3 linked regions of the Caenorhabditis elegans genome follow. The protein of the gene in region 1 interacts with the protein of each later gene in a pairwise test. Each region holds a gene or a part of one and is shown in the gene's direction. Other genes may lie near its edges. The genes, in order: nhr-62, dmd-6 and egl-18.

Region 1 (8,273 bases):
GATTGAGGATACTAATTTTTGAATAATTCCAACAAATTGTAACAACAGAGAACCGGTTACAGCTCAGTTTAAAACCTGGATTAGTTGACCAAGCTATCGTAAAGATACAACATGGTTTGCTCACTTTTTCTAGACTTTTGTGCCTCATAATTGAGAACTCACAATCAGGGAAGCGACAAGGTGAACTATTTCAAAAGTATATCAAAAATACCAGACAACAAAGTTAACAATAAAATTGTTTTAGCCAAAGTATTGGAGCCCTCAAACTTTGAGAACATTTTTGACTTTTTGAGAAGATGCATTACTGCATGTTTGAAGCCCTCCGTGATTTTTATTAATAAGAAATAAGACTCATGGAAAACGTTTCTAAAAAAAATGTTTCCATTAACCTAAGTATCCAAAAAAGCTTACATTTGTATGCACTTTTGATATGAAAAATAACCGCATAATAGAAAAAACCTTCAAATAGCTAAGCAACTAGGAAGACTATACAATTATGCGATTTTAACATTTTTTAAAAAAACTTTTGAATGTTTGATTTTGCAATCTTTTTAATCCTTCACATATTCTTTTGCTAGACACACATTTGCATATATTTCAGAAAATAATAATAAAATCTCAAACTTTTGATCTTTTGGTGCAAGAGGGCATCATCTCCAAACATTAGAACTCAAATATGAATGATACCAGGTGCATTAGTATTGCACACATATACACACACCTCTTTAACATTTTGAGCTACTGATAACACAGTTTTTGATGATTTTTGTCAAAAGACAATGATGTTTTGTTTCATTGAACTGATTCGAATTCTTGACTTTGCGTCAGAGATCTGAAAACTTTTAAATGTCAATGCACCTTTAACCTTCTGATTTTTGTTTTAATTCGGAAAAAATTGCATTTCAGGGCTTCAATAAACAAAACCTTCAATTATTATCTCCTTTAATTAATTACTAGTAGCTCAGAACGTACATTTGTGTGGAGAGTGCATGAGAGATCTGATAGGGGAATCTTTAACTCGCCCTCGTTTCGCCCTACCGACCCTTGCGTGCAATTTTTCGGCAATTTAATTTTTCAAAGGCGTTCCCGAGCGAGAAGATCTAACTCGAACTTTAAATTGTGAGGAGATATAAACTCAACCTGAATTAAATCAAAATTTGCAAAATTTGCATAAAGTTGGAAAACAGTTTTTACCTTAGGGAAGAAGCGCCCCTGTCACGCCTCGACCTGGTAGTTAAGATTCTTCAGAGAGTGCACGCTAGAAGGATATTTGCTAAACAACACCTAAACCTGAAAACTTTTTCTGGTGATTAGTATTTGTAGTATCTGTAGTATTTGTACTCTGTAGACTACACACAAACTAGCTTCCTCTTCCGAAAATCATTTTTGCTTCCTTGCATTTCAAGGTATTCCTCTCTCAATTTCCACGTCATGCATTTCAACTATAGTGTCGTTTGATTAGCCGTGACCATTGAAACAATGTTGTTATGTGCTCTGGTCCATACGGAAAGACAAAACAGTCCGAAGAGAGGTCTCACCTCTCAAACATTGTATTGTTCCTTTTATATCCTGTGTCTCTTATATATTTATTTGCATAGTTTTCAAAAAGGCTACAAAATCCTCTTGCATCTCGTTGATAGACGCAGCTTACGAAACAGAACTCTGGTCAGACGATCATGATTTTCCGTTCTCATATCACACGCCGCCCATTCATATCCGATCAAAATGTTGCTCACGTTCTTAGTTGCTTCCGATTGCTTCCGTCTCCACCTCCTCCCACCATCTTCTCCACCTTCTCGATTACCTTTTTAAACTCCGCCTCTTCATCTTGACTACTCTAATTCTCTCAGATTCATCTACAATGTTCTCAACTCTCTCACCAAGCGCCATTGACGATATTCTACGGCACGCTGTCCATTTCGGACAGGGAACCACTGCAATCGCACCAAGTCCTGTCACATTCATCAGTACCACCACACAACAATCATTAGGTGCCACTTATCCGGGTGTCTTCAATCCAACAACTCCAACATTCAATCATTACCAACATCAAGCTTTACCTGTAACAATGCACACATCAACATCATCTGCTCATCATACGACAACAGGTTAGCTGTGTGACTTGTGATTTGTGATTTTAGTTGTTTCGTTCTATGGACTTTTTGCAGCGAATTCTTATGAATTTTTAATGCTTCTTATTAGTTTTTATTTTTCAATAATTCTTTAAAGGTTCTATTGAACAACGTTTCTGATTTTTTGTTCTTTGGACTCAAATGTTTGCAGCAAACTTGGTGAGAAAATAACAATTTTTATCTGCAAAGTTTTTATTGGTTTTTTGTTTGAAATTTCAAATCATGTTTTGCTTTCCTACATCAAAAAAAGATTGTGCTTTACATCATGATATCACAGAAAGATCAAGGAAACAAACCTGTGGAACTGTTCGAAAAATTGTCGATGGGGATTTTTAAATCTGAAAGCTCAAAAAATGTACCCTCTGCTTTCAGGCACAGTATAATTTTTTCTAGAAATCGACCAACTTGTGGTAATTTCAAAAAGGCAATTAGTTTATATCTCGGTTGTCTTTGATTTTTTGAAAATTTTTCAACTATATTAAAGTAGAACAATATTTTTAAAATTTTTTTTTAATTTTTCGACAAAACGCTGATTGAGATGTCAAAAAAAAAGAGATGTTAAAATGAAAATAAATACGGTATTCTGAACATACGTTATATTTGCCGTTACTGTAACTATATATATATATATATGTCAATCAGATCATGTTAGAAGTCAATTAGTCGAGTCTTCAATTCCTGAAGTTCAAACTACTAAAAACTGATGTTTCACAAACAATAACCACTTGTAGTTTTTCTGTGTAAAGACACAAATAGTTCAAACCACATAGTTTTGTTTTTGTAAGATTGTTTTCTTGAACGGATTTTTTTGCAAAACCTACAAGAAAACATAAAATAGTCCTTATCCTTCTGGATTTAAGATAAATTCGTTCAAAAATCAGAAAGAAGAATTCTGCAAAAATTTTAATCTTACACGTTCTACCTCCTTTGCAAGCAGAAACATGCTTGTTATTATCATGTCCAAATCATCTAGTCAAACAAAAAATTTGCCTTCCCGATGGAGTTTGTAGTTACTGTCATGACGTATTGCCATTTGGGCATCGTGTCCTTTATAGGCCAACAAGACTCTAGTACCCCACCTTTCATAGTCAAAAGCTCAATAGATCAATTGTTTCAGGACATGGAAGAGGTCGACGTAAGAACTCGACGATAAACCTGGTATGCGTAGTCTGCGGGGATCAAGCGTTTGGAAAACACTATGGCGTAAATGCATGTAATGGATGCAAAGGATTCTTTCGTAGAAGGTAAACCATGATCTCTTGATCCTTTGATTTTTGCACTTCTTTTCCCTTATTCTCCTTCTCACGCATGGTGCGGGAAAGACTTTTAAAGAGAGTATAGAGAAGAAACAATGGACAGTAGAGGATAGAAGGGGGGTCTCTCTGTATATACAAATATTCATGAGGTGGCGGAAAAGGTTAAACGATCAAATGATGGGTTGATGAGGAGATCATTGATTCAAAACAATTGGCCAAATTGAACACTGAATAGGATAATTGTGACAGGGAACGGAACAGAAAGTTTTTTAAATTTATTTCCCGAGTTTTTGGATATGTGCGGATTATGAAAGTGTTAGAAAAGGATAAGACACTCTTCTGAGCACAGAAAGATAATCTTCGTGTAGGTTCTAAACTGATTGCAAGGTTTGGAAATAGATGTGACAAAGACCACAGCCTTTTGAAATAGAACTGAGCTTAAGTCTAAGCCGAAGTCTAAGCCTAAGCCTACTTCTAAGCCTAACTTTCCACTGAAACTGTTAAATTTTGTTGTTTGCTATCACTAAAGTGTTTTGTGCCTGCAGTATGGATACAGATATGGTAATGCTATATCCCATCACAAAACAAACTACAAACCACAGTTTACAAGTGTGTTCGTGTGCCATTTTGTACAAGATCAAAAATTCATTTTATAGGTCGTTAACGCTAGAATTTACAAAATTCAATAGAACTGGCTCAATTCCTACACACATTGTCATGGAAAAGTGCGCTAAACTCTAGTTTAAGACTATATTTGATATGAGATAAAATATGGTTCTTTGAAATATAATGTCACATTGAGAGAGTCTGTAATTTTTGTGAGTTTCCAATTATTGTTGTTCCATGAAAAAAATCACTGACGTCAATTGTATGTGACTTTTTGCAAAAACTGGAACTCAGCTACCTGCTTCCGGGCTCCGGATGTACAAGGTATAGAACATCAGAAGATCAGTCATTTACTAGTACTTTGTACTTTTCTTTTCTAAATTGTTGAATTAATTCAAAGATAACTTTGGCCATTTTCAACATTTTCGAACTTTTCGGGAATTAGTTGTGAGTGAAACTTTCAATAAGTTCAAATAGTTTATTTTGAAGTTTGGGATACAACGTAGCTTTCCTTTTGCAATAGATTTTGAATGTTTACACTAACAATTCTTCAAAATTGAACAATGGAACATCATAGTTCATAGAATGTTTTCCTAATTTTTGTAGTTTTCAAGTAGTACTGTAGTTCATTGAATACAGTTCATACTCCTGCAGACTTTATATTTGATTTCTTAATTGTTCGAAATTGGAAAGTTCAATTTGATCACTCATATCAAATCATCGTGTGTATTGATATCTAGCCAGGTTTTGTACAAGATCCTTATCTGTCCATTCCCCCTCTCTCTCTTTTGCGCCGCTACGTGAGTTTCCTCAAGACCGAAATGTGTATTCCTTTTCTATTTTCATATGATCATATGATCTTTTGTGTCAATGATACTGCAAATAACAATATGAAAAATGAATAACTGGAAAAAAACATTTGAAAAAATAAAATTATTTTAATTGCAGTGTTTGGCACAACCGGCAATACTTGTGTAGATTTGAGGGACGATGTGCAATTGCAAAAGGTGAGCAGTTTTGACTTGAATAACTCGAAAATTAGTTCAATCTTCTCCTTGCGGCTAACTTTTTTGAAGGACCTATTTAAAAGGTTCTCTTTCAAATTAAACCAGGCTCATTTAGAAACTCAAAATTGAGCTCAATCGTTTCTAAACCAAATAATGACGAACACAAAATATTGTGATCACTTCATGTGTGCTGTTACGTGAAGTTACACAACAAAATTTTGAACTTATTTACCGAGTGTTTGAACAAAAAAGATGTAGTTTTTGTAGTTCAAAAAGTTGTGGAAATTTTTTTTTCCCGCCGCAAATTTTAGCGAATTATGTACTGTACTTGGTCTCGTCACTACCAGAAACTTCTAGATGTGTAAAAAGCGAGTGCACCTTTAAAGAGTACGATCGATTCTGTGCCTCGTCGTTTCACAAGTGTGAATGTTCGAGAATTAAAGTTAATCATCGGATGATTGGAAATTCAATCCTCTCCGTGACTATTTTTTTTTCTTATCCTTTATTAGGCTACAAAGATACAGTTCATGGGCATGATTTGCAAAGACTGTCCGTTTCGGTATAATAATCTAATGTTTTAAATACCGAAGCATAGAGCAAAATATTGGAAAATACGATTTGAAAATATTTTCAAATGTTTGATATCGATTTATCGAATATTCCCAGTTTTCTTTAAAATAACCCAATGTTCCAGAACATCGAAACGTTTGTCGAGCCTGTCGCCTGAAACAATGCTTTGTAGCCGGAATGAATCCACGAGCTGTCCAGTCGGAACGAGTCGAACGAGAACAAAATGGATCGCCAAATCAAATTGAAGAGGACGATTATAAAGACTTGTCGTCTCCGGATACATGTTCTGTTGAAATTCAAACAGATGTAGATGAACAAAAACCATCGTCAAACAACTCCGCGCCTTTGCCAAGTATGGAGCTGGAAATGGCAAAACTTTCTGAGCAGATAGTTGAAATGCATAGAGCAGTTTGTTCTTATGTAGATCCAGTGACAAAACGGGAAAATTTTGATATGAAAATGGAGACTGAAACAACGAAAATCGCATTTATGAATGCATTCTATAATCCTGAAATGATTGGTCCAAGAACTCCTTTGGATATTACTGGAAGACGGGTTGCAACTGTAAAAGATGTAATGGATGAATGGAAAAGGAATTTTGTACTTTTCTCTGATTGGTTAAGAGCTCTTCCTGAGTACAATCAAATGTCAATTGAAGATCAAATTGTTCTTGCCAAAAATCGATACGGGACATTTCACTGGTGGATGTGTGCAAATTGGACTGTACAAGCAGGATGTGAGGGAGTATGTTACTCGAATGGAGCATATTTCCCAAAACAACCAGAAGCTCAATGTATTCCTGATGTTAAAGGATCAAGTGGACGAATGTATGACTCATTGAGTATTCCAATTAAAGAATTGAATCTTGATGAAACTGAAATTGTTCTAATGTTGGCAGTTATCATTTTCAGTGATGGTAAGTGGAGCATGATGCTTGGTAGATTAGAAATATTTGAATTTTCTATTTCAGAGATTACAGAACTTGCTGATTTGACACCAGCTGGAAAAGAACATGTTCGAATGGTTGGAAACCGATTCGTTCGCATGCTTCATCATCATGTGAACTCAAAAGAATATGGAGAGGCGATGGAAAATGGAGATGATACACAAAATAGTAGTGAAAGTCAAGCAGCAGTTCGAATTGCCAAAATGATGATTCTTCTCTCGGCGACTACGGTAAGGGTTTCAAGAATTAATGCTTCAATGTGCTTGACATTGCAAAGTTTAGCAGAACCAGATTGTCCACAAAGTTCTGAGTCATAATATTTCCAGAATCTCGTGTATCTCACTTCTGACAACATTCAATTGATGGAGGTCCTACACGTTGTGCCAAGTGAATATCTTTGCCATGAAGTTCAGTTTATTCAAAATTCTTATGAGACACCTTGAACTTTCGGATTTCAAAAGTCGAAGACGGCGACGGGTTTTTAATTCTCTTAATATAATTATTTTTGAATAATTATTATGACGCTTATAAAGTTTTATATTCCAGTTTGTTTCTTGGATTGTATGAAAAAAATAAACGACAAAACAATAAGAACATATGAAAAATACTTTATTTCATTAGTTTTATGGGTGAAACTGGGTTTTTTTTTTGAAAAATGGTCTATAACTTAAGTTAGCTAAACATCAGAAATATTCAAAGACTTTGGGAACCTTCCAGACTTACATCGAACTTTATTGAATTTTTCTTTCAATGAAATTGTTGAACATTCCATGATTTTTCAAAACTTTATCATTTACGAATATTCCCGAAACCTTTCACACAGTTAATTTGCGACGGACGCAAACTGTCTCAGTATGGACGCATCACGAAAACGACAGTTCGTAATGCACACATTGCGGACGTTTCAATCCACGAACAGTGTGAACCTAATCATCTAGAATTGTATTGTTTCGAACTGGAAGAAACCAATCTTAAATTAGCTGATATTATCATTTTTGTGCTCCTGTTGTTGTTTGTATTCACTTTCAAGTGATGAACAACAAGGAATAAATACATATGTATAACCATTTGAAAGAATGAAAAATAAAAACAAGGTTGTCATGACATTCATTTTCTCGTCCACTTTCTATCCATTTCCTTTCCATTACTTTAACCGGAAACTAACAGGGTTGGACCACTACAGCTTTCTCTTTTTTTTTCTCTTTTTCCTTTACTTTATCCAAGGCTCTGAGAAGAAATGCTTTTAGCATTCCGTTTTGACTCTTTTTTTGCCTTTTCTTACCCCAATTTGTCGAGTTTTTTCCTGGGACTTTTCAATGTGACATGTTGCTCTTTCTGGTTTGCATAAGTGATGTGACAAGCAGAAATAGTATTCAAGAAATGGAGATGTTAAAGAAAGAGGTCGAATTGTGAATGAGCAAAAGGTTCTCTCAAGAGAGGTTATTCATGAACAGATTTCAATTTACTGCAGGTTTGAATGGTGCCTTTTGTGACGATTTCAATCCAATTTCGTTCTTTTCATGTTTTTTATATATAGGATAGTCTTCTAGACTTATATATCTCAAAAATTGAACGGTCTAATTCAACTCCTTCCGTCTGAAATATCGGTCTGAAAAGTTATTGAAAATTATTTATACGATTTATGTTGTTTTTTAAAAAATTTTCCCGAGAATACCAAAATTCCAAAAAGCTTCCTATCATCTCTAAACTTATCATAAGACCACAGAAAACTGATGTTGAAAAATTCTACGGGTTT
Region 2 (9,031 bases), on another chromosome or scaffold:
TCGCATTCACCATTTTTAATTGAATCCAAAAATCCAAAAATCAAAATATGAAGAGGGGGCGGGGCCGTAGTCGTGATATGTTAAAAGTCCTACGTATAATTAATTCGCAGAACTAGAAGTGTAGGCTCCAATATACTTTTAAAAGCCGCTTGCCCACCCTCCAAAGAACATTTACAATGTTGTCTCCTCTGGCTGACTAACAAAAATACAGTTTGGAGAAAGATCAAACTCCGCCCCCATCCCGCCGCCATATCATCCCTTAGTATGTATGGGTCTGTCAATGACAACGAGTATTTATAAAATTGAGAATTCAAAAGATCACGTTTTCATCCATTATATGTTTGTCGTCTGCTGATCTTCGATTTATCGCATTATCAAACGTTGATCATTTCACCATTTCATTCAACGATTTCCAGTTGGGGGAAACCCTTAGGCTCCGCCCACAAATTGATGGCACATGTCGGTTCTCTTTATCTCTTCATTCGGTAGCATAAGAGGCGAGGATTTCGAACTTTTAATCTCGTAACTTCAGATACTGATGTTTCAGTTATATGTGTTTGAAGTTCAGTTTTCTCGATAATTTCCACCTGCTTTACTTATTTCCGCACTATGATTGGAGACTACAATGTTCTGTGAATTCTTAGAAAACTTGATATTTGATTTTAAAGTGTTTTCTGCCGACGTATAACTCAATACTGAAAAATTTTGCAACAAAATTTTTTTTGTGATAATTTTGAAACAGTAATTTTTTTTCAATTTTTTTTTTCAAATTCTATAAAAATATTTCTCGCAGTTGTTTTTCATTCTATTTCGTTCCAATCAAAAAATTCTGCGATCTCTTGTTCAACATCGTTTTCTCTGATCATAATCTCAACACAAGCAGCTTTTCCTCCATGTATTTTTCGAGATGTGACGCCTTTACAGGGAGGGCGTTTGATCTCTACAAAAGCGTGAGCTACTTAGTGGGGCCAGAAAAGTGCAATTTACTTGCATAAGAGTAACAACAAAAATCATAGCGACCCCCCGCCTGCCCGGCTGTATCTCGATCACGGATCTTTTGAGTAACATCAGTTCCAATTGAATATCCGTAATTTCCGTAGTATCCGTAGTATCCGTAGGCCGTAGTTTGTAGCAGTAACAATTTTCTGGATAGAAGTTTAAGAAGTAAATCTTAAAACTTGAAATCAAGAAATAAAAATTAATAGTTTAACTTTCGAAGTTTGAATGTCAAAATTTAAAAATTTTTAAAATTTGGAAATTTTTTTCACTGTTTCAAAAATTCCATGAAAATTCCTCGCCGTTTCAAGTGTTAGTAGTAGTTCTGAAAGATCCCAATGAACATTCTGTGACTCGATATCTCCACCTCCAGCAGCAGAATCCGTTCAAATGTGGGATTTCTGCATTTACCGTGTTTTTCTTATCTAACTCGGCGGATCTAACCTTTATTCACACGTACATTCAAGAATTCAGTATTTGTAGTAAGTGTAGTTGGTGAGAAATTAACTGAAAAATTAACGAAATCCGATCTTATTTTAAGTTTTCCAAAAAAAAAAATTACTGTTTTAAAATTTATTATAAGGAAACGGTGATTTTTTCGACAATTTTTCAATCCAATTTATTTCCAATTTATTTAACTGTTCTGAATCTTAATATAAACCATGTCGCTGGAAAATATAACAATTTTATGTGCAGTTGCAATAACTAAAATTTCCAAAAAAATTTGTTTTCCGCATTTTTCTAAGTTCAAGCTTGATTTCTCATTAATGGTCGCATCTTGTTCCTGTTACAGCCAGAAACCTAAACTTTTTTCACAATTTGTTACCTGTTTGGAATGTTAATATAAATTTCGCTAAAATATATATTTAAATCTGTTGAACTGCCGTTCCCGCCAAAATTGACCAATTTTAACTTTTCGGAAAAAAAATACTGTTTCAAAATTGCATGTTCCTAATTTCAACTTTCATTTCTCAATAACTTCGGTTCTTTTTTTTCCTGTTACAGTCAAGAAACTTCCCAAAAAATCCCTCAAGATATTCATCTCCCGTGCTTCGGCCTCTTTCTACCTTGAAACTCCTACATACGCCCTTAATACGAACTGTGTCTAGTTTAATACACTCGTTATTCCCTTCCATTGCATTTCCTCATCTTCACTTCATTCTGGATCGTTTTTGATTGGGATCTGAAGCTGCGTGGAAACTGGCTTTTTCGATGAAAACGTGATCGAATTTCTGCATTAAGAATCACTGATTAAAATTTTCAATTTACAGGTTCTAATTGTACTCTTTTTTTTTTGGAAATTTTTTTCACTGTTTCAAAAATGTTTCTTCTAAACTTTTCAACAAAACCTCACTGATTAAACTTCGTCCAACATTTTCCGACAGTTTTCTCTCCATATATACTTTTAATCTTTCGGTTCCCTCTGCGCACGTGAAAAATAATCGTATTAAACAGATTTCGTATGCAAAACTTTTCCATAATTTTTTCAAAAATCACAATTTTGGCTTCTCTCTTTCCAATTTACTATACAATTTCTCCGCAAATTTTTAAAGAAATTCCTCTTTTTTCAGACTTCATCTCACTTTCATTGCCAAATCATCAAAAAGAAGCCATTTTTGGTTGGAGCTCGTGTGGCTCAACAATCAAAAAAAAATATTATTTTGTGGAGCTGGTCATTGGTAAGTTCGTGTTTTTTTTGTTGCAAACATATTTAGCCACTTGAGGTGTCTAGGAAAACCGGTGAAGATGTTTGTATAATGTTAGTCGGAAGCACAAAATTAGTGCAAATGACGTGGCGGAGGAAACGGAAAAAATTCAAAATTTTGGACTTTGGAAAAAATTAACTGTTTCAAAACATTTTGAAATTTACACAGAGAGCATTGTTTTTTTTTATAAACAAAACTTAAGTTTGAAAATTGCAATAATTTTCGTCGCTTCTTGTAGCTTGGCTGACAACCACAAAGTTTTGGTTTCAAAAATATTTTACTGTTTCAAAAAGTTCTGAAATTCACAAATAAATGTTTGTTTTTGCTATGATATCGCCCTGTATTGGTCCCAATAAACTAAACTATTCTGATTAAAAAATTTTCAACTGTTTCAAAATTTTGAAAAAAGTTCCATTTTTTTTAAGTGTTTGCTCTATTCTTTCTTTAAAAGTTTCACCTTATTGTACATTTTGTAGACACATTTTGTAGACTACAAAGGCTACGTGTTTGCCAGTTCTTTCACTTTTTGCCGTGTCACTTGTTAGTCATTTCTTACAAGAAATGGGAACTTTTCTGTTTCACAATGTCTTTTTCTTTTAAAAAAGTTTGAGCTTCAGCTGAAAAGAAGCTGAAAATTTTTGTTCCTGCTTCAAAGAGAAAAACACTGAAACTTTGAGCTTTTTGTTGTCAATTTACTCGGCGATCTTTAAAGAGACGAAGAAAAAGAAGAAATGTTTTGTCTGGCGGTTGTGTTCTCTGTTTTTGCGGGTCCCCCAACTCCAGTTTTTTGATCACTTATTTTTCCTATTTTTTTGAATCATTTTTCTTGACTTTTTCTAGATTTTTCTTCTCTGGAAAAGTCACAGAATGATGATGATAAAGTTTGTGATCAAAAACACACTTTTCGACCTCTTCAGTCATTCAACCCGGTTAGTGGGAGGAGGTGGAGAGTAGGTCAAATATTTGCACACCCCGCCTAAACTTTGTACCGCCCAATTTTATGTTCATTTTCTGTGTGCCGTGTGTAGTAGAGGAGGAGCAACAAAGAACCGAACTTACGGAACTTTGTACCTATGGAATTGATGTGTTTTGTATTAATTTCTATATTTTTTAAATTCTGTCGAAAGCACTTTGAACTTTGTGAACTTTTCATATTTTTATTTTGAAACAGTAATTTTTTTCTTCAAAATTTGAAATTTCAAAAATTCGAATTCAAAATTTTAATAAGATTTTAAAAATCTACATAAATATTTTTTGTTGAAAAATGATGAACCTACTTCGTTGGTAATAGCAAAAAAAAAAGAGTCCACAACATTTTTAATGCATATTTTGAAACAGTGAAAAATTTCACTGTTTTTAAATTTTTACGTATACATAACCGCAACATAATTTTTGATTTGTATTTCTTATTAGGAGTAAATTGTTATTTTTAGTCAGTAATCAAATTCATATGCCAAATTTCACAAAATTTACAGTGAAAGTGTTATTAAATTTCAAAATTTGAAACCGTAATTTTCCTGTCGTTCTACAAGTAGTATGCCTCTACTTTGAAATAATCAAACATTTTCCGTGAAACAGTAACTTTTTTTCGATTTTTAAAATTTTTGCAAATCCTTTACTGATGTGAGTTTTTTTATTACTAATAGAATCACATAAATATTACAGTTCCAGTTTTAAAACTCTTAAACATTTTCTGTGAAACAGTAAATTTTCATTAAGAATTCCAATTTTCAAAAATCATCTACAGTAACCTAGTTATCTCCATCTAAACGCTTATTTCCTTGTCTGAAAATGTCTTAATTTACTTCCTCTAGATATTTTCTACTTATTTTGCACAACCATCCTCTCATTTCCGTGTTCTGCTTCTTCTGTTTTGTGCTCCGTTCGCCTGGTCATCTATTTCTCTCTGTGTGTGTTCTAGATCACAATTTGTGTTGTGTTCTCCAGTGTCTCTGCTGCTTCGCGTTAGCATGTTTTTCACCCAATTTTTGAGCTTTTCGAGCCCAGACTAGTAGACCCCGAGTGATCTTCGAACACCCCCCTGTGTGTGTGTGTTCCCCGCATATGTGATTATTGAACCACTAGGGACTGGAAAAATAGGAACGAGGAAGCTGGAACACACACCCATCGAGTGTGTTTTTTTTCGAATGGGAAAAAAAAAAGAAATTACATATTTTTTTCTCTTACTCTCTTGTAGGTCCCTTTGTAACTTCCGCTTTGACCCTTGGAGCTCCTCCTCCATTTTTGTCACTATTCCTGATCAGTCTTCATGATTTTAGGTTAGCTAAGGTTAAGCTCTTGTGGATTACTGTAGTACTCTTGGAATATATATGTCTTGAAGAAAAATTACTGTTTCATTATTTTCACAAGTTTATACAGTGATCATGTTGCATCAATTTGCTGTGTGCATCTAGCAGAATTACTGTGAATCATTAAATTCAGTAAGACAATTAGATTTTTTTCGAAATTTCGGGAGCTTCATTATGTAAATCATAACTAGCCAACGAATATTCAAGTTTTGAAACACTAATTTTTAAAATTTATTGAAATTTTTTAATATTTCAATTTTCTGTTTCTAGAGGTCTGTTTTTTACACATATTTTAAACTTAAAAAATTAAAAGAATTCCTGTTTCACGCTGTTCGTAAGAAGTCTTACTTTGAAAAATCTTTTGCTCTCCTTCCGTACATATCTCAAATTCCCAATTCTTTCAGTAAAATGAGCCCACACATCATCGCTACTGTAACCATCGACGACGAGCATCATCATCATCATCACCGCAGCAACGAGAACTACTCTCCATCATCCCAAGACATGGACTCCCCAAAGCCAAAGGGACGCATCCTTTACTGCCGAAAGTGCGAAGGACACGGCGAGAAGGTGATCCTCAAGAATCACTCACCACAGTGCCCATATATTCTGTGCAATTGCAAATCGGTAAGTTCTAGAAGAGTCTGGGAGCTATTTTGTTTTCAAATTTTCAAATTTTAGTGCGAGAAGCTAAACTACAAGCGCCTGAAGTCGTTCAACAAGAGAAATAAGGAAAAGATCGAGTTGGCAGCAGCTCTGAATGCAAAGAGACATGCTCCAGAATCCGGATCCAGTGTTGACGATGAAGAAGGTGAGCTTTTCCCTGATCTCTGTCTCCTACTCCTTCACTATCAAATTAGAATCCATATAGTACCCATAGATCTCTGATTTCTCAGTTGTGTTTTGGCGCTTACTCCCTAGTTCCCCCACAAATATGCATAACTTCCGTCTAGATTTCCACAAAAATGTACTCGGTTGTTTTGTTCGTTTCTCGTACGCGATCGAAAATCTCTGTATGACTAACAACGTAGACAGCAGAACCACTGAAAGATCAAGTGTTATTTCAAAACTATTTTGGAGTTTGCGATGATGTTTCATATTTGTTAGATATTTTGGAAAGGACATGATCTTTTGATTTCAAGAGTTTACTACAAAATTCGATCCCATGACATTCACTTTTCAAAAACAAAGCAACTATTTGCCCAACTTTTGCAAAAAAGTAGACTGTAGGTACCGGTACTAGACTAATCTTTTGATAGTGTTATCAGTTTTTTTCCTTTATACCATTACAAAAATCACCTGATTCTTGCGCTTTCTGATCGTTCCAGTGTAATTCGTCGCACTTTTGGAACGCCGCAATAACAAAATTCTATATTCAGAACAAGTGTTCTTAGATCGCTGAAAATTCTATTTCCTAGTTCCATCCCTCGAATCTACGAATCTTGTTTTCGTCGTCTTGATATATACAAAAATGTGTGTCCTGATCGACTCGAACCCTCCACTGACCTTTTTGTTTTGCTCATTCGCCATCTACTTGTTTTTAGTACATTCCAGCAACTCTTTCTCCTCCTCCCCCCCCCCCTTTCATCCCTTCTCTTCGGTCGCTTCAGGACCTTGCACTCTTTCTCATTGCGTCTGCACACTCTCATCACATCTGTACTATTTCTCGTTTGCCCTGTCTGATTTTCGCAACTACTAGTCTACTCGGTTCTCATCGTCCTCTCGTTTTTCCACGTTTTTTCACATTTTAAGGCACACACACACACACAGAGAGGATGACGAAAAGGCGCTCACATTTTCAGTACACAATCACTTTTCTGTGTATGTGTTTGTGTGCCCAGCCTCCCGAGGACGACTGTCTCTTCTGTTATTCGCGAATATTTCAGGCATTTCGTCTAGTCTTCATTTTCATTTTTATGTATTATAATTTCGGTTCTGTCTTCAAAAAATTGAGCTAAACTCCTTGGAACGTCTTCCGTTTTGAGTTTTAGCTCCCTGGTTTGATCCCTTATGCAGCCCGTCTACGATCTTTTTGCATTTGATTATACGTAATTATTTTCTCTCTCTCTCTCCTTTTCATTTTTCACAATTTTCCCACTCAATTTATCTGTCTACAAAGTTATGCTTTGGTGTCTCAATGACTCACGACGGTTGGCACATATCTCGTGTCAGTTCAAAATAATAGCAATTATCATTTGAATATCCGCTGACCGATGGTTAGATTGAGCACGTATGCGCGTATGCTGGCCAAACAGAAATAGAAATTCCAAGTATGTGTCTGGAGCCGCCGGCTCGACTGTAAACAGATTTCCGTCACTTTTCTTGTTCTCAATTTTCGATGTCTACATATAAATGAATAGAGATTAGAAATCATCAAAATGGCGTTGACGTAGGCAAATGGTGAATCACATTAGCTCACATTACGTATGATCCCTGTGTTTTGGTGTGCTGCTCTTTCATATACATTTTTTTTCATTTCTCTCTCTCTCTCTCTCTCTCTCTCTCTCTCTCTCTCTCTCTCTCTCTCTTTTCTAATAGGACTGAATCAGTGGGAGTAAGTGTACACAGACTATGAAAAAATAATGTAAAAAAGGTGAGCAACACACCAGTCGCACCAAATAGTGAAGGATTTAAAGATCACCGAATTTCTATTCGCGTCTCTTTCTTCTTCCTCTCTCTCTCTCAACATGTTTCGTCTCCCATTTCACTCCGTCGTAAGCCGGCGGCATTATCCAGTGCGAGACTCCTTTCCCAAGTACGGAACCCTTGTGTCCCTCTACTGATCTTTATCCGGCACCTAGTACCTGTCCTATATACCCACACTCGGGGCCCCCCGAGAGAAAGAAAGATGCATTCGATTTTCTATTGTTTCTCATTCTGCAGTGAAACGCGAAACACTTTCCATTTTCTTCTTTTCCAACACATACACACACACAATATGTTCCAATTCAATATTTCGAAACTTTTCAGGCTTCTCCCGCCGTTCCTCATTCTGCTCAAAAACTTCAACACCAGACATGGACTCGGAGACGAGAACCTCATCGGTAAGTATTCTCCACCTAAACTAGACTCTTGTTTTGCACTTCATATGTGTAAGGCATCTGTCAATAGCTAGCTGGCTTTCTTTCTCTGAAATCGCGGTTTCTTAGGAAAATATTCTAGTCTGCTCATAGCTCTCACGCGCACCTTGACCTAACAGCTGCATGAGAAGAAGACGTCGACGACAGAACCAGTGAGAGAGGGAAAATTCTGATCTTATGGTTTTTAATCTGCTCCTGCTCCAAAGCATGCGCTCTCTCTCTCTCTCTCTCTCTTCGCACGCTGCTCTGGCTCCCTCCTCACGCAGCGGCGCTCACATTTTGTCAGAATAGGCGGAGCAGGTGCGCGAGCCCTGTTATTACTTTATCTTCTCATACTCTTGAGCTCATTTCCAATCTCATGCTCAACTATATTCCATTTCAGACGACTCCTATCACTCGTTCCAACTCCACAATGCCCACAGCTAATGGTCTTGAAGGACGAAGTGGCTCACTTGGGCACATGACAGTCATGTCCTATGATATTTGGAAGGCCAAGTGTGCATCAGAGAGAAAGAGGCTTGAAGAGGAGAGACTCACAAAGCCTGAACTATTCACCCGATCTCCATCACCTGGCCCAATGAGGAAGCGTGCTCACACATTTGTTGCTCCGCCAACGGTTAGTTGTCTAGTTTTCTAGAGAGTTCTAGAGAGTGATCTATGGTTCTGGCGAGCCGTCGACATCACCCTTTTCTAGCCTAATTGTGATTCATCATTTCTCATACATGTATTTTTCAGATTCACACGCCAGACATCCCGGTTGTCGCCGCAAAGAAGATGTCACTTGATGAGAAGGTGAAGGGCAAATTCATCACACTTCCGACGATTCCTGCGATGAGAATTTTTGTGAACGAGGAGGATGAAGATGTGAAGCCAGTGACACAAATGCAATTGGCTCAGCCGATCGCTTTAACTCCATCACCACAAATGTCACTGGCCTCCA
Region 3 (7,569 bases), on another chromosome or scaffold:
GATTTCCTGGATTTTTTTCGACCTCTCAAAATTGGAATTCTAGCTCGATTCGGCACGGATGCTTCCTGAAAATTCTGTAACCTTGGTGATTAGGTTTCCCTCAGACCGTCCTCCACCACTGAAGACCCATGAACTTATCAGAGGATCCGCCGCCAATGGGTTCCTATCCGTGTCGGAGCGATAATCATCGATAATCTTTCTTCTTCCTATCTTTCTACACTTTCATGGGGCTTGTCTTTCCTTGTCCCCCCTACTAAAAGATGCTAATCTATATCTAACAACCCCCTCTCTCTCTCTTCCCGATCGTGCGCAACTGATTCGGTGTTAACACGCGTGTGACGACGGCCCAAATAAAGGAAGGATGTTGAGGAAGAAGTTGAGGCAAAAAGAGAGAGACTTCGTTTCGAAGAGAAGATCGCAATCAACTCTTCTGATCAGCAGCCATCCAATCGAATCGATAAGAATGTTTGAAGATTACCATCTTCTCACTAACATCGTCACACACACACACACATACACTCACATTCTCCACTGCATTCCTTTGTTCGGACTCATCACGGACTCATCACCTCATCGTTTCTTGTGTTAGGACACCACTGTTTACGGGCTCTTAGACCGGTTATGGTGCATCGTCTCCTTGTCAGATGGACCACCAGGGTGTTACCGCCACACAGGTTCTCGGCAGGTGTTATCTGAGATTAGCTGAGAATTCAGCCTTGTCCTGGAAAATTGTTTGATTTTTTACCTGGCATATTAGCTCAGGGCTCGGTGAAAGCTTTTTCACAGATTTCTCCGCTCGATTCGACCAATTTTGAGCATTTATACCATGGGTGGCCGGCACTTGGCGTTTTGCCAATTTTTTTGTCGGTAAGTTGCCGGTTTGCCGAGTTGCCGGAAAACTTCAATTTCGGCAATTTGCCGATTTTCCGGAAGTTGCAATTTTTGCCAAAAAAATTCCGATTTGCCGTTTGCCGTACATAAGATTTGCCGGAAATCATAGAATTTGTTTACTTTTCAAAAGGATGCGTACACTTTTTGCCGATTAAAATTGGAATTCAGAATTTAAAAAAAAACGTGCAAATTCCCAATTTGCAGAAAATGTTCGGCAAATCGGCAAACCGGCACATTGTCGATTTGCCGGAAATTTCAATTCCGGCAGTTTGCCGATGTGCCGCCCATCCTTAATCTATACCGAAACTCAAATTTTCAAAAAAAAAATTTTTTTTTTAAATTGATAAAAACTATTGTAGCAAATCAAAAAAATGTTTAAAAAAACATGGCAAAGATTCCAATTTTGTTTTTGGAAATTTTGTAATAAGGTGTTTTAGAGACTTTCAAAACGCCATCACTTTGCTGTACCTGAACCGGGGCAGCTGAATTTTTCGGAGGGATCATTATTAGCACTTTTTTATCGAAAAATTACAACGGTTTTCCGGCAAAATCTGTTTTTTTCCAGCTTTTTTATGCAAAAAAAAAGACACCAATTTTGAAAAATTGATATATTTCGAGTTTCCTTGACACTTGGCACAGTTCCAAACAACTTCCGTTATCGACAAGCTAAAATTTGGCACATCTACAATTATCGATTAGGTTTAGTGTCGGGGTGATACTACGTGCATAATTTGTCGTACAACAACACAACAAATCGTCTCCCCTCTTCCCCCCCCCCCCCCCCCCTATCCACCTAATTTCCACGTTTGTCCGGCTGGGGGAAAAGGGGCGGAGACGGGCGGTGAGTAGCGTTCTTCTCCACACAATATCCCGCCCATTTTCTTCGCGTTGATCAGTGTCATTTTATGGTTATTTACTTGTTGGTCCATTCTTGTCAGTAAGGAGGGCCTCCCTTTTTAAAGTTTTGACCTATATTTTTGATTATTTTTTGTCTAGTTTCAGCTTGAACTAAGCCGATTTTAGGCCGAAATAGTCCGCATTTTTCTGATTCATAGCTTAAATTTAATCTCCAAATTGCTAATTTTGAGTAGATCCCTATGTTTATGCTACGTATTTTTAGCCCCAAATAGTTTTTAAATAGGCTTTTATTGATAAAAATTGACCCTTTAAGAATTAAAACTAAGCTATTTATCGGCCTGAATTCTCCATACAAAACGGCTATTTTAGGCCGTTTAGGCCGTCAATTTCTGGTACCTCCATAGTAGTACATTTTAAGGTTCAAATAAAATTGTCCCCCGAAAAATCAGTTTTTTAGTCCAAAATCACCCATTTTAAGCCCTACCCCAACTCTGTTCAGGTCAAAATTTTATCCTCGTACTCTCTTGATATTTTACTTCCCCTGCACATTTTCCCTCTAAATTTTCCATTTTTTGCAGTGTCTCCACACAGTCTATATGTCGATCAGCATAATGACGGAAACGAGACCAGAATCCGCCGAGCAACAACACCACGAAGTGCTCCAGAGGCCGTCAGATGAGCCGTGTAGTGGTTGCAAACAGTTACAGAAGGATGTTGCAAAGGTAATTTAGAGCTCAAAAAACCATTAACAATTAAAAAATTTCCAGACAATCAGCATGGTTATGGAGCGAATGGACAAACTTCAGTATCGGCTCGACGAGCTGCTCAAAGAGAACAATGAGCTGAAAAGCTCATCGGTCTCATCGGGAAAAGCCTCACCATCACCGGCAGAGTCGAGGAGCTCTCCGAAGCTTGTCGAGACAGTAGTCGCTCCAGTATCAGGAGCCCGGAAGCGGAAGCCCAAGGAGCGGAGCCCACCGGCAGCTGCGAGTCCACTTCCAGACTTTTCGAATTTGATGAACGGATTCATGTTTGATCCTCTGAATATGTCAAATCCAAATGGAATGATGCAATTATTATCAATGGTTCAACAGCAGCAGCAGCAGCAACAACACCACCAGCACATTGAGAATCAACAATCCGTGAGCCCACCACAATCGAAATCCGTGAAAATTGAAGATCCAATGGATCAGGATGTGAAACAGGAAGAGTCGGAGCGATCCGATATCCCGACGGCTACAGAGGCGCAGAACCTTTTGGATGCACTAACAGCACAGTTTAGCAGCAACGGACAGGCGGTAAGTGTTGAGGAAGGGCCAAAGGGGGGGGGGGGGGGGGGGCGAACAAAGGAAAGATATATCACCCCGGGAGGCGGCGTTCGCTTTTGAAAATCTACCGCTGCGCGATTTTTTTGCACTTAGGATTTCTAGGATCCTGATTGGATTTAGGATCTTTCGAGAACTTTGGGGAGAAGTTCCCGAAGCTCTATGATCGGAGTTCGCAGGGTTCCTTGAGGAGCCTACTTCTGGGGAAACCCTTGTGAAGGTCCGGAAGCTCCCAAAGTTGCTCAGGATCATTGCGCACCTTGACAAGCTTTAACTGCTGCCCTGACTTCCAGCGGACTTCCAGCGAGCCCTTGAAAGTCGCCAGGATCCATTGAAACCTCCCAGAGCTCCTTAGCTGCTTTAGGGTTTTTCAGGATCTTTGAGGAGCTTCTAAGATCCACCCTGAGTTCTTTAGGATCTCTGCGATCTTTCAGCAGCTCCTTCAATCAATCAATAAATACATTCACTCCTAATCACATATCAGTTCTTCCAGACCTCCACCACATCTCCACCATCATCATCATCCCAAGTACAAGCGGTCATCGAAGCAGTCGCCACACCATCATCCCAAAGCCAAGACAGTTCAATGTTTGAGAAAACCGAGACGAGTGGTGATCCGAACGCGGCGCGATGCTCCAACTGCCGAACCGACAAGACAACCGCGTGGCGACGTGACGCCGAGGGGAAGCTTGTCTGCAATCCGTGTGGGCTCTACTATCGATTGCACAAGGTTTGTTCGTCGTGTTATTCATTAGCAGAAAGATATTAGCAGCGACAGTAGAGTAGCAGCAGTAACAGCTTCTAATGGGGGGAATAAGAGAGTGTTTGTTATCTGATGCGAATAGAAGGAAACAACCTAGTTAAGATAGCGGCAAAATGAGGGGAAAATAGGAGTGAAGGAGAGGGGAGATTGAAATATGAGATTAGCTTCTTCTTCTTCTCCATCTTCTTCGTCTTCTTACTTTTTATGTGTTAGTTGTGCGACTGATATTGATCCGAAGACGATTTCTAGGTCAGTTTGGCTAGATTAGGATTTTCTGATCCTTAAAGGCTCTAAGATCTAAGCTCCACAAGCTATCCTAGATCTTATCAGAAGGTTCTCGGGTCCTGCCGATCCTTGAAGGCTGAAGATTCGCTCTATCCAGGTTCTAAAGCTGCTCTAATCGTTCTGGAGAATGTTCGGATCCTGGTGATCCTAGATAGGCCAGAGAGCCTGTGATAACCCTCTTAGCCTGGCAATCCTGGGCTTCAGGTGAAGATTTCAGATCATCTGATCGTCCCATATGCGATCCTGATCCTTATCAGAAGCTCTGAGTTACTTGGTTCTTGTTGAAGATCCCCGCATTATCAAGAATTTCGAACTCTACCACCCCAGTAGGTCAAAAGTACAGTACCTCCACCTTCTCCACCTCATCATCATCATCATCTCCATCATCATCGATACAGTATCTACCTTTCTTTCAATTTCCATCACTTCAACCATTATGTGGTCGTCGTCATCGTCGTCGTCTCCACCTCGATAATTAGCGTATCGGCTGCGGCGGCGGCGGCGGCGGCGTGCGTGCCGCAGAAGGAGACGAGTCAATGATTACCTGTAACTCGAATAGACTTTCCACCTCTTCCTTTTCTTATTCATTTTAGGAGAAGAAACGACGACGACGACGTCTTATTGTTCACCACCGGCACCGACAATTAGGGGGAGATGAAACTAGTGCACGCGTGCGCGCGCAAACAATCCAGCCTCAACGTCGTCATCATCATCACCAATGACTTTTTGGTTCCGCACGCCAATCCATATCGAAACTTTGGCGGCGGGGGTAGTTGTAGGGAGGATCCTGAGGATTCTGAGGATCTTAAGAAGCACCAGAGCTTCACTGTTTCCTGGAATAGGTCGATGATTCCCGAGGTGGAACATCAGAGAATAACCTAGCAAGGATATCCCAACAATCTTGAGGCGATCGCTCAAGATTCTGATGATCTGTAGAAGTTTCATTGGTTCCAGTGATTCGAGGATCCTCAAGATTCCGGTGTAAGGTGTAAGATCAGCTGATCCATACCCAAGAAGACCTTCCATTAGTTCCACTGGATCAAAAATTCGGCAATTACGGAGTGATCCCCCTCTCACCACCACTTTGTATCTCCCCCCTCCTTTTGCTGATACACGTACACTCACTCTCACCCTAATTGCCCACCCCGCCGCCGTCTCCGAAGATGGAAGACCACCACCACCCCTATTGTTGTCTCTATTGTGTGTGCAAATTGAGAAGAACGTTCCGCCCTTAGATGGATGTGTGTGTGTGTATCTAATATGGCCAAGGTTATGAAATTGGGAGAAATGATAATTGGCGGTGCAGGAAACGGGACGATCACGACCGGACAGACCAGATGTCTGATTAGGAGACAGGTGGATCCAAGAATCTGACTTAGGATCCGGTGAGGCTATCTAGGACAGAAGCTTGGTGATAATGGAGATCCCAACGAATTCTTTGATATGCTAGAACAACCGGAAGTCTTTAGATCGAAGCTTAAGCCAAAGGAGACCTCCGATCCTTCCGATCCTTCCATCGCTAGGATCCCCTACAGCCTCTAGTAAGAACATTCACATCATCTGCGGATCCTTCTAAAATTTACCAGCGCGAAGATCTATCCGAAGGATCTTTCCACCGATATCCTGAGATCTGAATTTTCTGGGAAAATCTACAATTCTACAGAATCCTTTGATAAGATAATTCTGACCCTTATGCTGCTTGGATTTCTGCGCGATCGATTGTGGCGATCAACCACACTGGGATACTTAGGATCTTAAGGATCCTCACAGTACCCCCCCCCCCCCTCTTAGAAGCTCCTAAATGCCTAAGGATCCTTCCAAAAGCTCACCCAGATCCTTCCCACCTTAACAACTAATTCATTTTCCAATTTCCAGGTTCGCCGACCAATAGAAATGCGCAAAAACCACATCCAACAACGCTACCGCCGAAAGAACAAGGAAAAAGAGTCGTCGGCGGCAACACAGATCTTCAACCAACTCCTCACACAAATGCCGACGATGGCGACCGGCGGAGTGAGCACTGATGGAGCCATCAACACATTCAATTTACTCGAGCAAATCTCGCAATTCACGCAGGCTCAAGAGCTCATGAATAGCAGTGCCACATTTTAATTATCATTATTATTTTTTCCCCCTTCACATCCTTTTTATGCACAATACCTTTATGTAATTTTTCTTATTTATTGAAATTTGAAATTTGAAATTCTCCATAATGTATTATTGATTAATAAGCAATCCTTCATCATTCCATTACCCCTTCAGAAAAATACAGTATTAAATAATTTTCCGCCAATTTTCTAATAATAATTGTGCCCCATTTCCCCCAACTTCACCGCGTGTTTCCGACTGTGAGCTTTACCTCCTCCTCCGACAACTTATAATAATAGTTAGGCTCCGCCCCATTCTGCAGGAGGCCCCTCCCCCAATTCTCTGTGCATGGTTGTGTTATATTCACCTCCTCCCACCACTTTGTCATTTCACTTGAATCATCATTTTTGCATTTTCATATTTATTTTGAAAAAATCTCATCTCACTCTCTCTCTCTCTCCTTATCTCTTGTGGTTTTTGACGGATAAACGTATGTATCTCATTCTATCACTTTTAGCTTTTAACTTCGTCCTCTCGCTCTCTCGCACTCTCCCCTCGCTCCACAGTCTCTCTCCGTCTCTCTCTCTCTCTCGCTCTCCACTTCTTCTTCTTCTAAAACAACGTCACACGTGATTTACAGATGACGTCGTCGAAGGAGGAGATGCCGGATGAGATGGTGAGCCGGGAGGTGGAGGAGGAGATGGAGGATCGGGTTGAGGAGACGGCGACTACAGCAGCAGCGTGCACCGGATGCGCTCAGCTTCACAAGGATATTCGACAGGTGCATATTATTTTGTTTAGCAGTAGGCTCACGCGCCTGCCTACTCTCGACATTTGGCTCCAGCTTCTTGCCCAAGTTTGGCCTAAAAAATATTAACTTGGATAAGAAGCTGGCTAAACTTGGGCAAAAGTTGGGCAAGACTTTGGCAAAACTAAAATCTGGTCAGACTTCTACCCAAGTATAACTAAAAAAAAGAAAATTTTGGACCAAAGTTTGGTAAGAGTTGGGGGAAACTTTGGTGCAGCCTGAATCCAAGTTTTGCCCAAGTTTTGCCCAATTGCCAACTAGAGCCAAATGCCGATAGGCAGGCATACATGAAGTAATTCTCGGATTACCAGAAACATTAAATTATTTTTCATTTCATTGAGAATTTCTGAAATTCTAGGAATTTGAATCGCCGCGCTGAAAGCTCCGGTCTATTCGTTTTCTTACAGGATGTTTCAAAAATGATGTCGAAAATTGACGAAGTGTGCGGAAGGCTTGAAGCTCTTATCAGTGAAAAGGAAAAAGTCCTGCTTGAGCAAATGTCCGAGAGCGGAAGCGAGGAGAAGGTGAGATTTTTGACAACTTTTAGCGGC

Evidence for each region.
Region 2: the proteins of nhr-62 (region 1) and dmd-6 interact in a two-hybrid assay, tested with the Caenorhabditis elegans proteins (one large-scale study listed by BioGRID).
Region 3: the proteins of nhr-62 (region 1) and egl-18 interact in a two-hybrid assay, tested with the Caenorhabditis elegans proteins (one large-scale study listed by BioGRID).

Annotation. Positions count from the first base shown.
Region 1 is NC_003279.8:9,837,748-9,846,020, forward strand, and holds nhr-62 (Nuclear hormone receptor family member nhr-62), read left to right. Parts: upstream 1-1,850; 5' UTR 1,851-1,861; coding exon 1,862-2,108; intron 2,109-3,249; coding exon 3,250-3,376; intron 3,377-4,942; coding exon 4,943-5,001; intron 5,002-5,695; coding exon 5,696-6,487; intron 6,488-6,541; coding exon 6,542-6,747; intron 6,748-6,843; coding exon 6,844-6,960; 3' UTR 6,961-7,056; downstream 7,057-8,273. UniProt on the Caenorhabditis elegans protein: Orphan nuclear hormone receptor. Required for metabolic and physiologic responses associated with dietary-restriction-induced longevity.
Region 2 is NC_003282.8:14,614,036-14,623,066, forward strand, and holds the start of dmd-6 (DM domain-containing protein), read left to right. Parts: upstream 1-2,567; 5' UTR 2,568-2,675; intron 2,676-3,028; exon of another isoform or gene 3,029-3,049; intron 3,050-3,134; exon of another isoform or gene 3,135-3,155; intron 3,156-3,320; exon of another isoform or gene 3,321-3,341; intron 3,342-3,971; exon of another isoform or gene 3,972-3,992; intron 3,993-4,098; exon of another isoform or gene 4,099-4,119; intron 4,120-4,212; exon of another isoform or gene 4,213-4,236; intron 4,237-4,340; exon of another isoform or gene 4,341-4,361; intron 4,362-5,098; exon of another isoform or gene 5,099-5,119; intron 5,120-5,162; exon of another isoform or gene 5,163-5,183; intron 5,184-5,376; exon of another isoform or gene 5,377-5,397; intron 5,398-5,415; 5' UTR 5,416-5,419; coding exon 5,420-5,638; intron 5,639-5,692; coding exon 5,693-5,822; intron 5,823-6,146; exon of another isoform or gene 6,147-6,167; intron 6,168-7,488; exon of another isoform or gene 7,489-7,545; intron 7,546-7,981; coding exon 7,982-8,055; intron 8,056-8,473; coding exon 8,474-8,707; intron 8,708-8,826; coding exon 8,827-9,031.
Region 3 is NC_003282.8:1,911,127-1,918,695, forward strand, and holds egl-18 (Putative transcription factor egl-18), read left to right. Parts: upstream 1-2,319; 5' UTR 2,320-2,345; coding exon 2,346-2,471; intron 2,472-2,516; coding exon 2,517-3,047; intron 3,048-3,558; coding exon 3,559-3,804; intron 3,805-5,997; coding exon 5,998-6,234; 3' UTR 6,235-6,712; downstream 6,713-7,569. Other genes in the region: Transcription factor elt-6, read left to right, coding at 6,851-6,991, 7,426-7,542. UniProt on the Caenorhabditis elegans protein: Probable transcription factor. Involved in embryonic development and in vulval development in larvae, acting redundantly, at least in part, with elt-6.